Saccharomyces cerevisiae S288C: one gene and its partner. The protein of the gene in region 2 binds, or shares a complex with, the protein of the main gene of each other region. Each region holds a gene or a part of one and is shown on either strand. Other genes may lie near its edges. The genes, in order: CDC13 and POL1. A codon is read from its position in the direction of its gene.

The links.
Region 1: the proteins of POL1 (region 2) and CDC13 are in contact, whole or in part, in a crystal structure (PDB 3OIQ), measured with the Saccharomyces cerevisiae proteins. Residues at the interface, in NP_014297.3 of Saccharomyces cerevisiae: Val230 (codon at 4,353), Asp232 (codon at 4,347), Leu233 (codon at 4,344), Leu234 (codon at 4,341), Asp236 (codon at 4,335), Val237 (codon at 4,332), Glu238 (codon at 4,329), Ser240 (codon at 4,323), Pro241 (codon at 4,320), Val242 (codon at 4,317), Val243 (codon at 4,314), Ala244 (codon at 4,311), Thr245 (codon at 4,308); in NP_010061.1 of Saccharomyces cerevisiae: Lys30 (codon at 2,066), Ile32 (codon at 2,072), Leu52 (codon at 2,132), Leu71 (codon at 2,189), Lys73 (codon at 2,195), Lys75 (codon at 2,201), Leu131 (codon at 2,369), Val133 (codon at 2,375), Ser134 (codon at 2,378), Lys135 (codon at 2,381), His136 (codon at 2,384), Gly137 (codon at 2,387), Asn138 (codon at 2,390), Tyr139 (codon at 2,393), Thr140 (codon at 2,396), Phe142 (codon at 2,402).

The regions. Positions count from the first base shown.
Region 1 is NC_001136.10:61,710-66,996, reverse strand, and holds CDC13 (telomere-binding protein CDC13), read left to right. Parts: upstream 1-1,978; coding exon 1,979-4,753; downstream 4,754-5,287. Other genes in the region: YDL218W (uncharacterized protein), read right to left, coding at 1-504; DTD1 (D-tyrosyl-tRNA(Tyr) deacylase), read right to left, coding at 1,232-1,619, 1,691-1,755; FMP45 (Fmp45p), read left to right, coding at 5,196-5,287. UniProt on the Saccharomyces cerevisiae protein: Single-stranded telomeric DNA-binding protein that regulates telomere replication. Has a role in both positive and negative regulation. Promotes [TG(1-3)] strand lengthening via interaction with EST1.
Region 2 is NC_001146.8:428,392-435,126, reverse strand, and holds POL1 (DNA-directed DNA polymerase alpha catalytic subunit POL1), read right to left. Parts: upstream 5,041-6,735; coding exon 634-5,040; downstream 1-633. Other genes in the region: AVT4 (Avt4p), read right to left, coding at 1-128; MET4 (Met4p), read right to left, coding at 5,374-6,735. UniProt on the Saccharomyces cerevisiae protein: Catalytic component of DNA polymerase alpha, which in complex with DNA primase (DNA polymerase alpha:primase) constitutes a replicative polymerase. POL1 has a role in promoting telomere replication during interaction with CDC13.

The DNA of each region.
Region 1 (5,287 bases), on a different chromosome or scaffold from region 2:
TCCTTGGGTTTGATAACGCTTCCTGATAGGTGTTAAGACATTAATTCCCAGTAATATCACACTGATCAAAAACAGTACAAAGCAAAGGCCAGAAAAGGCGATTGCCGCCTGAGAAGAATTACATGCTCTTCTATGACTGTCAGCAGTATATTGGCCACTGTACGGATTATAGTATAATCCGTCTGCATTAGTGTTGCTACAGCTACGTTCACCTTGAGCTTTGGCAAGAACAACGAAAGCTGCTAGCCATAGCATACAAACGATCAATTCGGCACAGAAGTACATTCCTATGTAGATCAATGTGGGTAGGGCCAGACACAAAATACCTAAGGCAATCAGATAAAACACACTAATGACACCTGTTGCCAATGTGAAGTTGGTTTTCTTATTACCTCTATTTCCATAGGCGTGGATGGCATACGCCAAAAGTGACATCACCAAAACCGATGATGCAAATTGAGAAAATCTCAAAAGTGTTAAGAAAACTCCAGTAACTCGTTTCATAACGTTGATATAATATATCTATTTGGTTTATGTTCCTCAATTGAAAAAAAAAACCGTAAACTTTCGTACTGAGAACATCAAAGCATAATGGTAACGGACGCTTTGTTGAACCTTTTTATACGTTGTCTTTTAGGGAATGTTAACCAACCATCGTCATCCCTTAAGATACGGTTTCAATATCCCTTGGAAACCAAATATACGTTAAAGTCATCAACGAGTATGCTTACTGGTTTATTAGTAACACAAACCTCAAAATCTCCTTAACTATCGTCAATTTAAGGGTATATATCCCCTTTCTCATTGTGCGTTTCTTTTTCCATGCCAGGTCAATACTCTCCTATGACTGGAAATACACTGTAAACATGCTTTTAGCCCTCTGGATTAGTAAGACTGGCAGGGCATCGCTTCGCCGTCCCTTTTTTCACTTTTACATTTTTTTTTTTTCATTTTCGCCCTTAAAGTTTTTTAAAGTTGATTTACTTACTTTTATGTAAAGAATATAAAACAATTCTAGACTTTCTTGGCGAAGGTTATTGAAGGAAGCGTGAATTCAAAAATCCATCACAGATATTTTGTATTCATTTTTTTGGGGAGGGCTCCTCTCCGCTCTACTCAACTTCACTGAGAACATAACATGGAAAGATTTTGGTACTTTATCTTGCGAAAGAAAGATTGCAAATAATGTTTGCTTTTTATTTTCTTCTCGTATATATCTATAAGGTCAATCTTATTGGTCACTGTCAAGAATGATTGTAACGGGCCCTTCATTAGTTAAAGAGCAACTCATCATTGCGCCGAATTCACCATCCTTTACTTTTTCCTCACCCAAATCACTTCTTAGTAATTTTAAGAATTCTTCATAAAGTTCTTTAGCTATATGACCCTTTTGGGCCAAATGGAAATCGGGTTTAGTTCCCTTCTTGGTTTTTGCCATCAAAGTGAATTGAGACACGGATAGAATTTCACCATTGGCCTCTTTAATATTCTTCTTCCATAGATTTCTGGATTCATCTTCGAAGATTCTCAAACTAAGAACCTTTTTCGATAATTTATCTATCTCCGCCATAGAATCATCAATGGAAATACCTACTAGGAGCATATAACCATGTTTAATACTGTCACATAGATAGAGGTGTTAGTAAAAAAAATTGGTGCACTAACGAAGCTGAAAAAACCGGTAACATACCTTGAAATAACTTTTGAATCGACGACTACAGATGCTTGGCTGACTTTTTGTAAGACAATCTTCATTGTAAATCCGCTGCTGAATAATATGTGGATTATTTAATATGTACATGCAGCCTTGATTAACGTGATTATACTTTTTAAACCTTTGATATCCAAATTTTTCAACGTCATAAGAGACGCGAAGGCCTAGTGAGATGCGAAATGCTAATTCAAAATGGAAATTTAAGAATATATTCATATATGTTTCTCTTTGGATACGAATGACCGTGGAAACTATCGCCTAAAAATGGATACCTTAGAAGAGCCTGAGTGTCCTCCACATAAAAATCGTATTTTTGTGAGCTCGAGTAAAGATTTTGAAGGCTATCCCAGCAAAGCAATAGTTCCCGTGCAATTCGTGGCGCTTTTAACCTCAATACACCTGACTGAAACAAAATGTTTGCTAGGCTTTTCTAATTTTGAGAGGCGAGGAGATCAATCCCAAGAAGATCAATATTTAATCAAACTGAAGTTCAAAGATAGGGGCTCGGAGAGGTTAGCCCGGATCACTATTTCCTTACTTTGCCAATACTTTGATATTGAACTGCCAGATTTAGATTCTGACTCAGGCGCATCCCCAACAGTAATACTGAGAGATATTCACCTTGAAAGGTTATGTTTTTCAAGTTGTAAAGCTTTATATGTATCAAAACACGGGAACTATACTCTATTCTTAGAGGACATAAAACCGTTGGATTTGGTAAGTGTGATAAGCACCATATCTACAAAATCGACAAATAGCAGCAAGCATTCGTCATCAGAACTTATTTCAGAATGTGATTTGAACAACTCACTTGTGGATATCTTCAACAATTTAATAGAAATGAATAGAGACGAGAAAAACAGGTTTAAATTTGTAAAGTTGATTCACTACGATATAGAACTAAAAAAGTTCGTTCAAGACCAACAAAAGGTATTATCGCAGAAATCAAAAGCCGCAGCAATTAATCCTTTCTTTGTGCCAAATAGACTAGGGATACCTTACATTGAATCCCAAAACGAATTCAACTCGCAGCTTATGACGCTTAATGTAGATGAACCGACCACAGATATAAGCAACATGGGAGAGGAAATGCATGACAGCGCAGATCCCATTGAGGATTCAGATTCCTCAACTACCTCCTCTACCGGGAAATATTTCAGCTCAAAATCCTACATCCAGTCACAGACACCTGAAAGGAAAACAAGCGTACCAAATAATTGGCACGATGATGATTCCGGAAGCAAGAGGAAGAGAAAGCTTTCTTTCCACAGTCCGAACGCGTCCTCAATCCGCAAAGCCATCAGTTATGAGCAACTTTCCCTAGCTAGTGTAGGCTCAGTTGAAAGGTTAGAGGGCAAAATTGTTGGCATGAATCCACCTCAATTCGCCAGTATAAATGAGTTCAAATATTGCACATTGAAATTATATTTTACGCAGCTCTTACCAAATGTCCCAGACAAGGTCCTGGTGCCAGGCGTCAATTGCATTGAGATCGTTATCCCGACGAGAGAGCGAATCTGTGAGCTCTTCGGTGTTTTAAACTGTCAAAGCGACAAGATATCGGATATTTTACTACTGGAAAAGCCTGATCGAATTTCCGTCGAAGTTGAAAGGATCCTGTGGGACAATGACAAGACCGCCAGCCCAGGTATGGCAGTATGGAGTTTGAAGAACATTAGCACCGACACGCAGGCGCAGGCGCAGGTGCAGGTGCCTGCGCAATCGTCGGCGTCAATCGATCCGTCTCGCACAAGGATGAGCAAAATGGCAAGGAAAGACCCCACCATCGAATTCTGTCAGTTGGGACTCGACACTTTTGAGACCAAATACATAACAATGTTTGGCATGCTAGTCTCCTGCTCGTTTGATAAACCTGCCTTTATATCTTTTGTCTTTAGCGATTTTACCAAGAACGATATCGTCCAAAACTATCTTTACGACAGATATCTAATAGATTACGAGAACAAGTTAGAGCTGAACGAGGGCTTCAAAGCCATCATGTACAAAAACCAATTCGAAACGTTTGACTCTAAGCTCAGAAAAATATTCAACAACGGGCTAAGAGATCTACAGAACGGCCGCGATGAAAACCTTTCGCAATACGGCATAGTTTGTAAGATGAATATAAAAGTGAAAATGTACAACGGCAAATTGAATGCCATTGTGCGCGAATGTGAGCCGGTCCCGCATTCCCAAATAAGCAGCATCGCCTCGCCTTCACAGTGCGAACATTTAAGATTGTTCTACCAACGAGCGTTCAAGAGAATTGGCGAATCCGCAATTTCACGCTATTTCGAAGAGTACCGGAGGTTTTTCCCCATACATAGAAACGGTTCTCATCTCGCGAAACTGAGGTTCGATGAAGTAAAGCATGAACCAAAAAAATCACCCACTACACCAGCTCTCGCAGAACACATACCCGACCTGAATGCAGACGTGTCCTCCTTCGATGTAAAGTTCACAGATATATCTTCTCTCTTGGACTCCTCGGCTCGCCTCCCGCGCCCACAGCAAACACACAAGAGCAACACATTATACAGTTGCGAGGGCCGTATCATCGCCATCGAGTACCACGCATCTGATCTCTGCTTCCATATCACGAATGAGCTCCCACTTTTACAAACCCGCGGCTTGGCCCCGGAGCGAGTGTTGCAACTACACATCATTACCTCCAAGAACTTTGCTTATTTTTTCAACCGCTCAAGCGCCTACTTACAGCGTCAGCCTCTTGAGGAAAAATATACGCAATTGGCACAATTTCTCGGCCATTCATTTAAATTCAATATAACCTCCTCGCTCACGCTGTTCCCTGACACTACCGTGGCACTCCAGATCTGGTGCCCAATTGAATGCACCTTTCGGGAATTGCAACAACAGCTGGCCCATCCGAAGGTTGCAGCGGCTCCTGATTCAGGGAGTCTTGATTGCGCAATTAATGCTACCGTCAATCCTCTGCGACTTCTTGCCGCGCAAAATGGCGTCACCGTGAAAAAGGAGGAGGATAATGACGATGACGCCGGAGCCGTTCCCACCTCGTAAGACATGATCCGCGCAGCCCAACGCGGCGGTGCCAAATTGCAGTGACGTCTCGGAGTAATATAAAAAAAAAAGACCAAATAACCAAATTTAAGGGTGCTCTGAATATAAGGGAGTGGAACGTTTTCACACGAAGGAAAAGGGAAAGAGGGGAGTGGTAAGAAGCAAGAGTCAATGAAAGGTCTTCCTTCCTTCTTGATGCTAAAACAAGGATAGTCTGGAATGGGGAGGAGCATTCGGCGCAGATGCCGACATATAAAAGGATGGTTGCTTTGCAACAGTTACTTGATCTTGCTTTGTTCTCTTGATTAGTTATCCGTTAGATGCAAACTTTAAGTACAGTAATTTTGAAGTGAATTAAAAAGAAAGAGGTATTTACGTTTAACGCTTATACTTTCCTTTTTATCCAAGTAACAAGTAACACTAATCACTATAATCTACCGCTATGATTTTCAAAAGGTTCGTTAATTTGCTTGTGTTTTTATTCCTACTCGGTGCTGGCTTATTGACGTTTTTTCTTATTCTGTCAGGAGGCAG
Region 2 (6,735 bases):
TAAAATGGGTTTGAATTGAGAACTGTTGATTGAGCCCTTCTGGGAATTTTCATATTATTGGAAGGATGCCTTAAATTTCCGTTTCTTCGGATCCCAAGGTGCTCACCATCTCCATTGTTAGTGACCATTGATGATGTGTTCTAGGATATTGTTATGTTGATTCCAGATTATGAATGACGTTGAAATGTGTTTTAGAGGAGGAATGATGAGTGCCTTTGAACCTAAGGAATCAGATGGCTAAAAATGCTATGTCACCTCGAAAGCAAGAGCAGATCAAGGTAAATGATATCCAACTATATTGTGGGTATTGCTTTTATCAAACTGGCTTATGACAGTGCTTCACAAGATTTAAGCATTCTATTTCATTGATGAAGCTGTTCGCTTATCTGATCTTGCTGATAAGGCGAATCTTAATGCATGGGTTTATTAAAGGATGATGCATGTGAGAACTGATCACCAGAGCCGAAAAAACATTCTCAGAATATCGCTGAAAACCTTCAATAATAAAAGCTTCCTAGCGCTCCTTCCGATGTCTGTACATTAGGTATCTAGTAGGATGCGTATGTACAGTTGTATTCTTTTCTTACTATATAGAATATTCATGAGATCACACAACACATACAAAATACTTACCTAATTTAGCATGAAATCAAATATGCTAGTCATATCAACGTAGCGACGTCCACAATCGTTCAAATATTTTTGAACAACGCTCCGGCCGGTTTCCATTAGTTCTCTGTTTTGTTCTGTTAAAGCCTTAATAGATGATTCTGTCAGCTGTTCCTTGGGGTAGTCGAGATCATCGGGTAGATATATTGGCTTCAATTCTTGCTTTTTATTTTTTTCACAATCGAATAAAGAATCGAAATATAAAAGTTGATTGTACAATTGCTTGTCACTGTATTTGTATCTCATGACACCCGTGCAGCCGTCATTCAAACAACGCTTACCAAAAACGGAGACTTGTCTTGTAACTATACCGCATGTGCTGTCATCACACTGTAACCACCCTGCGTAATATAAGGAAATGTGTGCCCTTATAGAATGCTCTATTTGGCTAGTTAATTGAAGAGGAGTAAAAAGTTGCTCACAATGCTTGCACTGTAAACCATTATATGACACGCGATAGTAATTTGAAGATACAATACCACCAAATGGAAACCTTTTATCGCATGATGGGCAACTTAATTCTAATGTTACAGTATCCTTAAACCTTTCAACGTCTGTAATTGTTGTTTCTAAGGGTTGCAAATTATTAATATCTTCTCCATTGTTATTACCGCCCTCTCTTCTAAAATACTTTTTACTATCTAAACCAAGCGCTTCACTCAAACGCACCACGTTGAAGCTATCAATTCTTTCTAACAACCTTTCTACCGGCGCGAATATTTGTTTCTCGAGATAATATTGTGGATCAGGTATCAAATTGTTACTTTTAATCATTACCTCATTCAATGCATGGGCACGTTCAGCCACAGAAAGAGCCGGCGTATCCGCTGCATTGTCTATTTCATCCTGCTTTGTGATCACAAAAGTGATGACAGAGCCAGCTTTAACAACTCTACCAGCCTTACGCATTCTTAGAGCTACTTGGACTGCAGGCATGTTTTTACCACCTGGGTAGGCCTTGGGATCTTTTGAAAGCTTCATATTGATCTTATATTTATCAATTCTAATGTTATTGGTTTCCACTTTTATTCTGATGTCTTCTAAGTAATCATACACTTCTTGCAATGCTTCTTCTGGGTCCTTATCTGACAGGATGGTGTTTAAAACATGTATAGAAACGTCCCTCGAAAGTGGACAAAATTCACGACGCTTCATGTCCAACCCTTTAACTTCTAGAACAGTAGTTCCATTACCATTTTTGTCCAAATTTACAGTCAAAGCAGCGTACTTTTTCTTGGCATGTAATAGTAACTTCTTAAAAACATTATCAATATCAATCTCCAATAATCTATAGCGCTCATTTACTAGCCTTTTAAATCCCAAGCCAATTTTAATTGCATCCGCATAATTATCACAACCGGTATCTATCATGACCGAATCTGTATCACCATAAACTACAAGAAGATTCATACTTTCAGCTAGTTGTCTTGTATTCATTAAAATCTCACGACCCTTATTAGTGACTAACATGGCGAGCGGCTTTGCGTAAAATCTACTGTTAACATAACCCAAACAACCATACATAGAATTGGCAGTCAATTTTAGAGCTTGTTGACGAATATCACATTGAACTCGCTTATGGGGATCAGTTTCAGTTTTCATCACCTTCTTAACTTCACGTCGACGATCCACCAGATTAGCTAATAACCTTGGTAAAACACCCTGATCCACCTCTGAAGGAGGTACGCTTGGTAACTCATCGATATCTTCCTTATTTCTATCAACGGTGGTAAAACATATATTAAATTCCTGGATAATAGATGGATACAAAGAATTAAAGTCCATGACTAAAACGTAATTCTTATGAAGACCTTTCTCAGGTTCAAAAACTAAACCACCCTGATATTTTGCCTTTTTAGAATTAACTGGTGCATCAGCATTTTCTTCATTTTGTCTTTGTTTCTGAGCTCTACTTCTATTGCCTTCTTTGTCAGGAACAATAAAACCATTTCTTGAAAATTCATGTAGTAAGATATACTCATTTCTACCAGCTCTTGTACCGCCTAGCGTTTGGGCCCATGCATTACCAGCCAAATTTGTCAACTGTTTAGTCAAGGTTAATAATTGAATTCTATAAGACACCTCAGCAGAAATCATACAATTAGTAATATTCTCTTGTAGGGCCATTGTCATACTATTTACATCATTTTGGTATTGTGGATTTTGATAATCAATATCTAACGGCTTATGCTCCTTTTCACATGTAACTTGATACATCTCTGAAAGATCCCAACTTTGACATTTGGGTGTTAATGATTGACCCATTTCATTGGCGATATCACATATCAGCCTACCAGAGCAAATGTCACTAATAAAAAAATGGTTCATATTCGAATTTCCTCTACCGAATTTTTCAGGCCAAGTCCTTCTTAAACGACGGCCAATAGAGCTGAACGTTGGAATGTTGAGATCATGCATTCTATGAGCTAAAACATCTAAGTAGACATTTTGCAAACGATGGCCTATGATAACATCTGGGTCTTCCACTTTTAACATAGCACAAAAACAAGATAGCATGGCCTTTTCGTTGTTGAACAACCTGACTCTACCGGGTAGTTTCTGTTTTGCCAGTGCAGCTAAACCTAATGGGAAACTAGTTGACTGAGGCGGCCTTACTAAAGTACACAAGTCGTCTGGTTTTATATTTTCAGGTATCGGTGAATCCAACGAGATATTTCTATATGCTGATAACGTTATCGAAACAATCTCTTGCTTATTTTCCTTGGGATTCATTAACGTCTGAATCGATAAAGATAGACATCTCAGATTAGGCATTGTCTTTGTTGTAGTAGGCGTGATATTCTGAGGCTTATCTACCGAAACTTCAACCGCACAGTGAGAAGCATTACGAATTGAATTGAAATCTGCTCCCTTTATATCTAACCAGCATGGTCCCATAATCCTATTTTGAATAACAAAACTTTCAAAAATATTGGAATTCCCACCAAAAACATGATAAAAGGTATCGCTAGATAAATCCGATGGAATGGTGTCTCGACTGGACTTCGGTGTTTGGTATGGAAGTAAGACTTTCAAATAATCACTTTCAGATGGAATGTCAGGAAGCTCAAACGAATATTTCATTTTTTGAGGTTTAGCGCGGATATTATCCAGTCCATATTTATCCATCAGTAACGGAATTATTTCCTCGTGTATATCGGTAGGTGTTTTACCCTCTCTTGGAAGGAAAAATAGCTCTCTACAGAGACCGTTGATTTGAACCATGGCTGACACACAATTATCATCCTTTAGTTTAACCTTACCAAATAAAATCAAAGTGTTGTTCACTTCACAGTAATCCAACCAAAACATTTGGAAAGTATCAGTTTCCGGATCTACCACATCTTCCTTTTTGACATTAACCGCAAGTGTAGCAACATCGGTGTTGCTCTGCAAAGATTTACTTGGAGTTAGTCCTTTAATACCGATTGGCGTTCCGGGTGCTGTGACAAACGGTGAAGTTGAAGGGTTACTTCTTGAGTCTATATTCACGCGTCTAGTTGTTGTCACACTTCTCATAGTTCTTCTTTTCAGAATAATATCTTCATCACTATCTTCATCATCTTCTTCATCAGCCAAACTTTGAGCGGATGGTGGATTTGCTAGTAACGTATCTTGAAGTACATTCTGTCTCTTTGTGGCTACTACTGGGGAATTTTCCACATCATCCAATAAATCCTGTACATCATTTGCGTAGCGCAGTTTCCTGCTTTGTAATTTTAACGGTGATGATTCGATTTCTAAATATTTATCAGTACTTGAATCTGGATCAATCTTGACTTTTTTAGAAATACCGGCATCATGACTTGACTCATCGTTTCCGTTAACTCTCTTTATTGACGATTTAAATTCACTAGTCGGCGAAGAATTTAAATTTTCCCTTAATTTGGATGGCAGTAAAATATTGGGTTTTTCTACTTCACCAGATTCAAACTCACCAAGAATGTCATCAAAATTATCGATGGGGATACTTTTTTTTTGGGATTTTTTTGCATGTGCTAGCAGTGTTGATTTGGAATGTTGAGTTCGCAGCATATCTGTAATCTGGTGGTCTTTCTCCCTTTTTATATTCTTCTTCCTTTTAGAATCCTTGCTAGCAAGGTTTCCAGTGTCTTCATCACTTGAACTGTTATCAACTTCCCTCCAATCTTCTTCGACACCACGATCGACGTAGCCTACACCATCGTCATCTACAACAAAATCGTCATGCAGCAATTCCTGGCGCTTTCTGGCCCTGTATTCTTTTTCGTCGATTTCGTCGTATATTCTGTCACCATCTGATTCGTCACCTTCGTAATCATCGATGGATGTACCATTTCGAGCGGCTTGCAGCTTTCTCAATTTTTCTAATTTTTCACTTTTAGAAGACATTTTCCACTGTTTATTTTATGCCTTGATACTATTTGGTTTCTAATAGCAGAGTGAAGACAGTTTTTTTTCTCGTGAGTCTGAATTGGTATGTGTTCGTTGTCTAGACCAAGAAGATATATATCATCCAATGAGTAAAGAATTTAATTCAGTAAAATTGGATACACGCGACGCGTTTTACTTATAGGCTAACAAAAAAATTTTAACGCGTTTGAATAGATGTGTGATGAATGAAGAATAGAGATTGCAGGCAGTACAAGAAAAAAGTTATATTTCTTTAAGAAAAATGCACGTATATATATATATATATATAATTAAACTGTATAGTCTGTTATTTTATTCTTTCTGAACCTTCTCAAAAATTTGCTTCTTTAAGCTTTCAGCTTTTTTTATTCCTTCCGTTTCACCGCTACTCAGAACTAAATTCTTTAAAAGCTTGTTTTCCGTTTCTAACGTATGTATCCGTTTTTGTAAGGATGCTGCAATTTCGGTCAGTTCATGTATCGATGATTCTAACTCCTTTTCCTTTAGTTTTTTTTTTTGATGAGATTTTTTCGACTGTATCAATAAATCTTCATCGTCGTCCCCTAACTCTTTCTTGATCAGTTGCTTCTTTTCAAAGCCGTGTAAATCTGCATCGTCATATTCATCGTCTTCATTATCAGAATACTTGCGGTCGACGGGTACTTTTTTATTTTTCAAATCTCCGGAGTGTGATCTTTTTAAACTATTTTCCTTGTGATCAGAAGAACTTGCATTTAAAGTTGGCTCGGATCGTATCTTGGCAATTTCGTCTCCACGCGTCGTACTTGACTTAATAACAGCGTTATTATGATGGACATTATCGTTTCCATTGTTACCGTCACTCTCTCTTGATATTTTATGATCGTTTCGTGAAGGTTGTCGTTGATTGTGAATATTATTACTTTTTGGATGCTTTATGCCCAGTTCCAAAATGGAGCTTAGAAAAGAAGCCTCTGCTACTACACCGTGCTCATTGAACGAAGGCGACGTTGATAAGGTAGTTGGCGCAGCAGTTTCAGCCGGAGAGGGTGGTATTAAGACACTTAAAAGTTCGTTGATGTTTTTTAGAATGGGTGCCTCTTGACTGTCATTGGTGTTGATGTTTTTATTATTATTACTGTTATTTTCCCTAATCTTTTTTTGATGATGATACGCCATTATTGCGGCTATAGCATCTATTTGATCATTGTCAAATCCCGCGCTGATCAACGAGTTATATGCGCCGTTGGGCACGTTGACCCTCGGTAATAGAGTTACTAAAACAGAGGTTGGTATAATTGAATAGTCAGGAACAGTTATATTGGGGGCTTTGTTGGAGCTGTTATTATCGCTGTTACTATCGACTTTGCTTTCCGAATGTTTTCGTTGTTGTGAAGAGGAATTTTGAGCAGAAGTGACATTGCTTAGGGGGGAGGAGCGGTTCGGTGTGTGTGTTGTCCTATGTAGTAGATTTGATAGCGCATCCACTCCATTGTCACCGGTAGTATTGTTCTCAGTTGATGTAATGTCAACATTTGTGAAGCCGCCATGGTCGATTGATGTCATATTAGTTGCGTCAGCGGGAAACTGAGAAGGGCTTCCCATAAAGTTTGGCTCAAAAGGATGGTTATTTTGCATATTGTCGCCAAAGTTGTTTGTTTCGCCGTTATTGCCATTTCTTTTGTTTTTGGACGA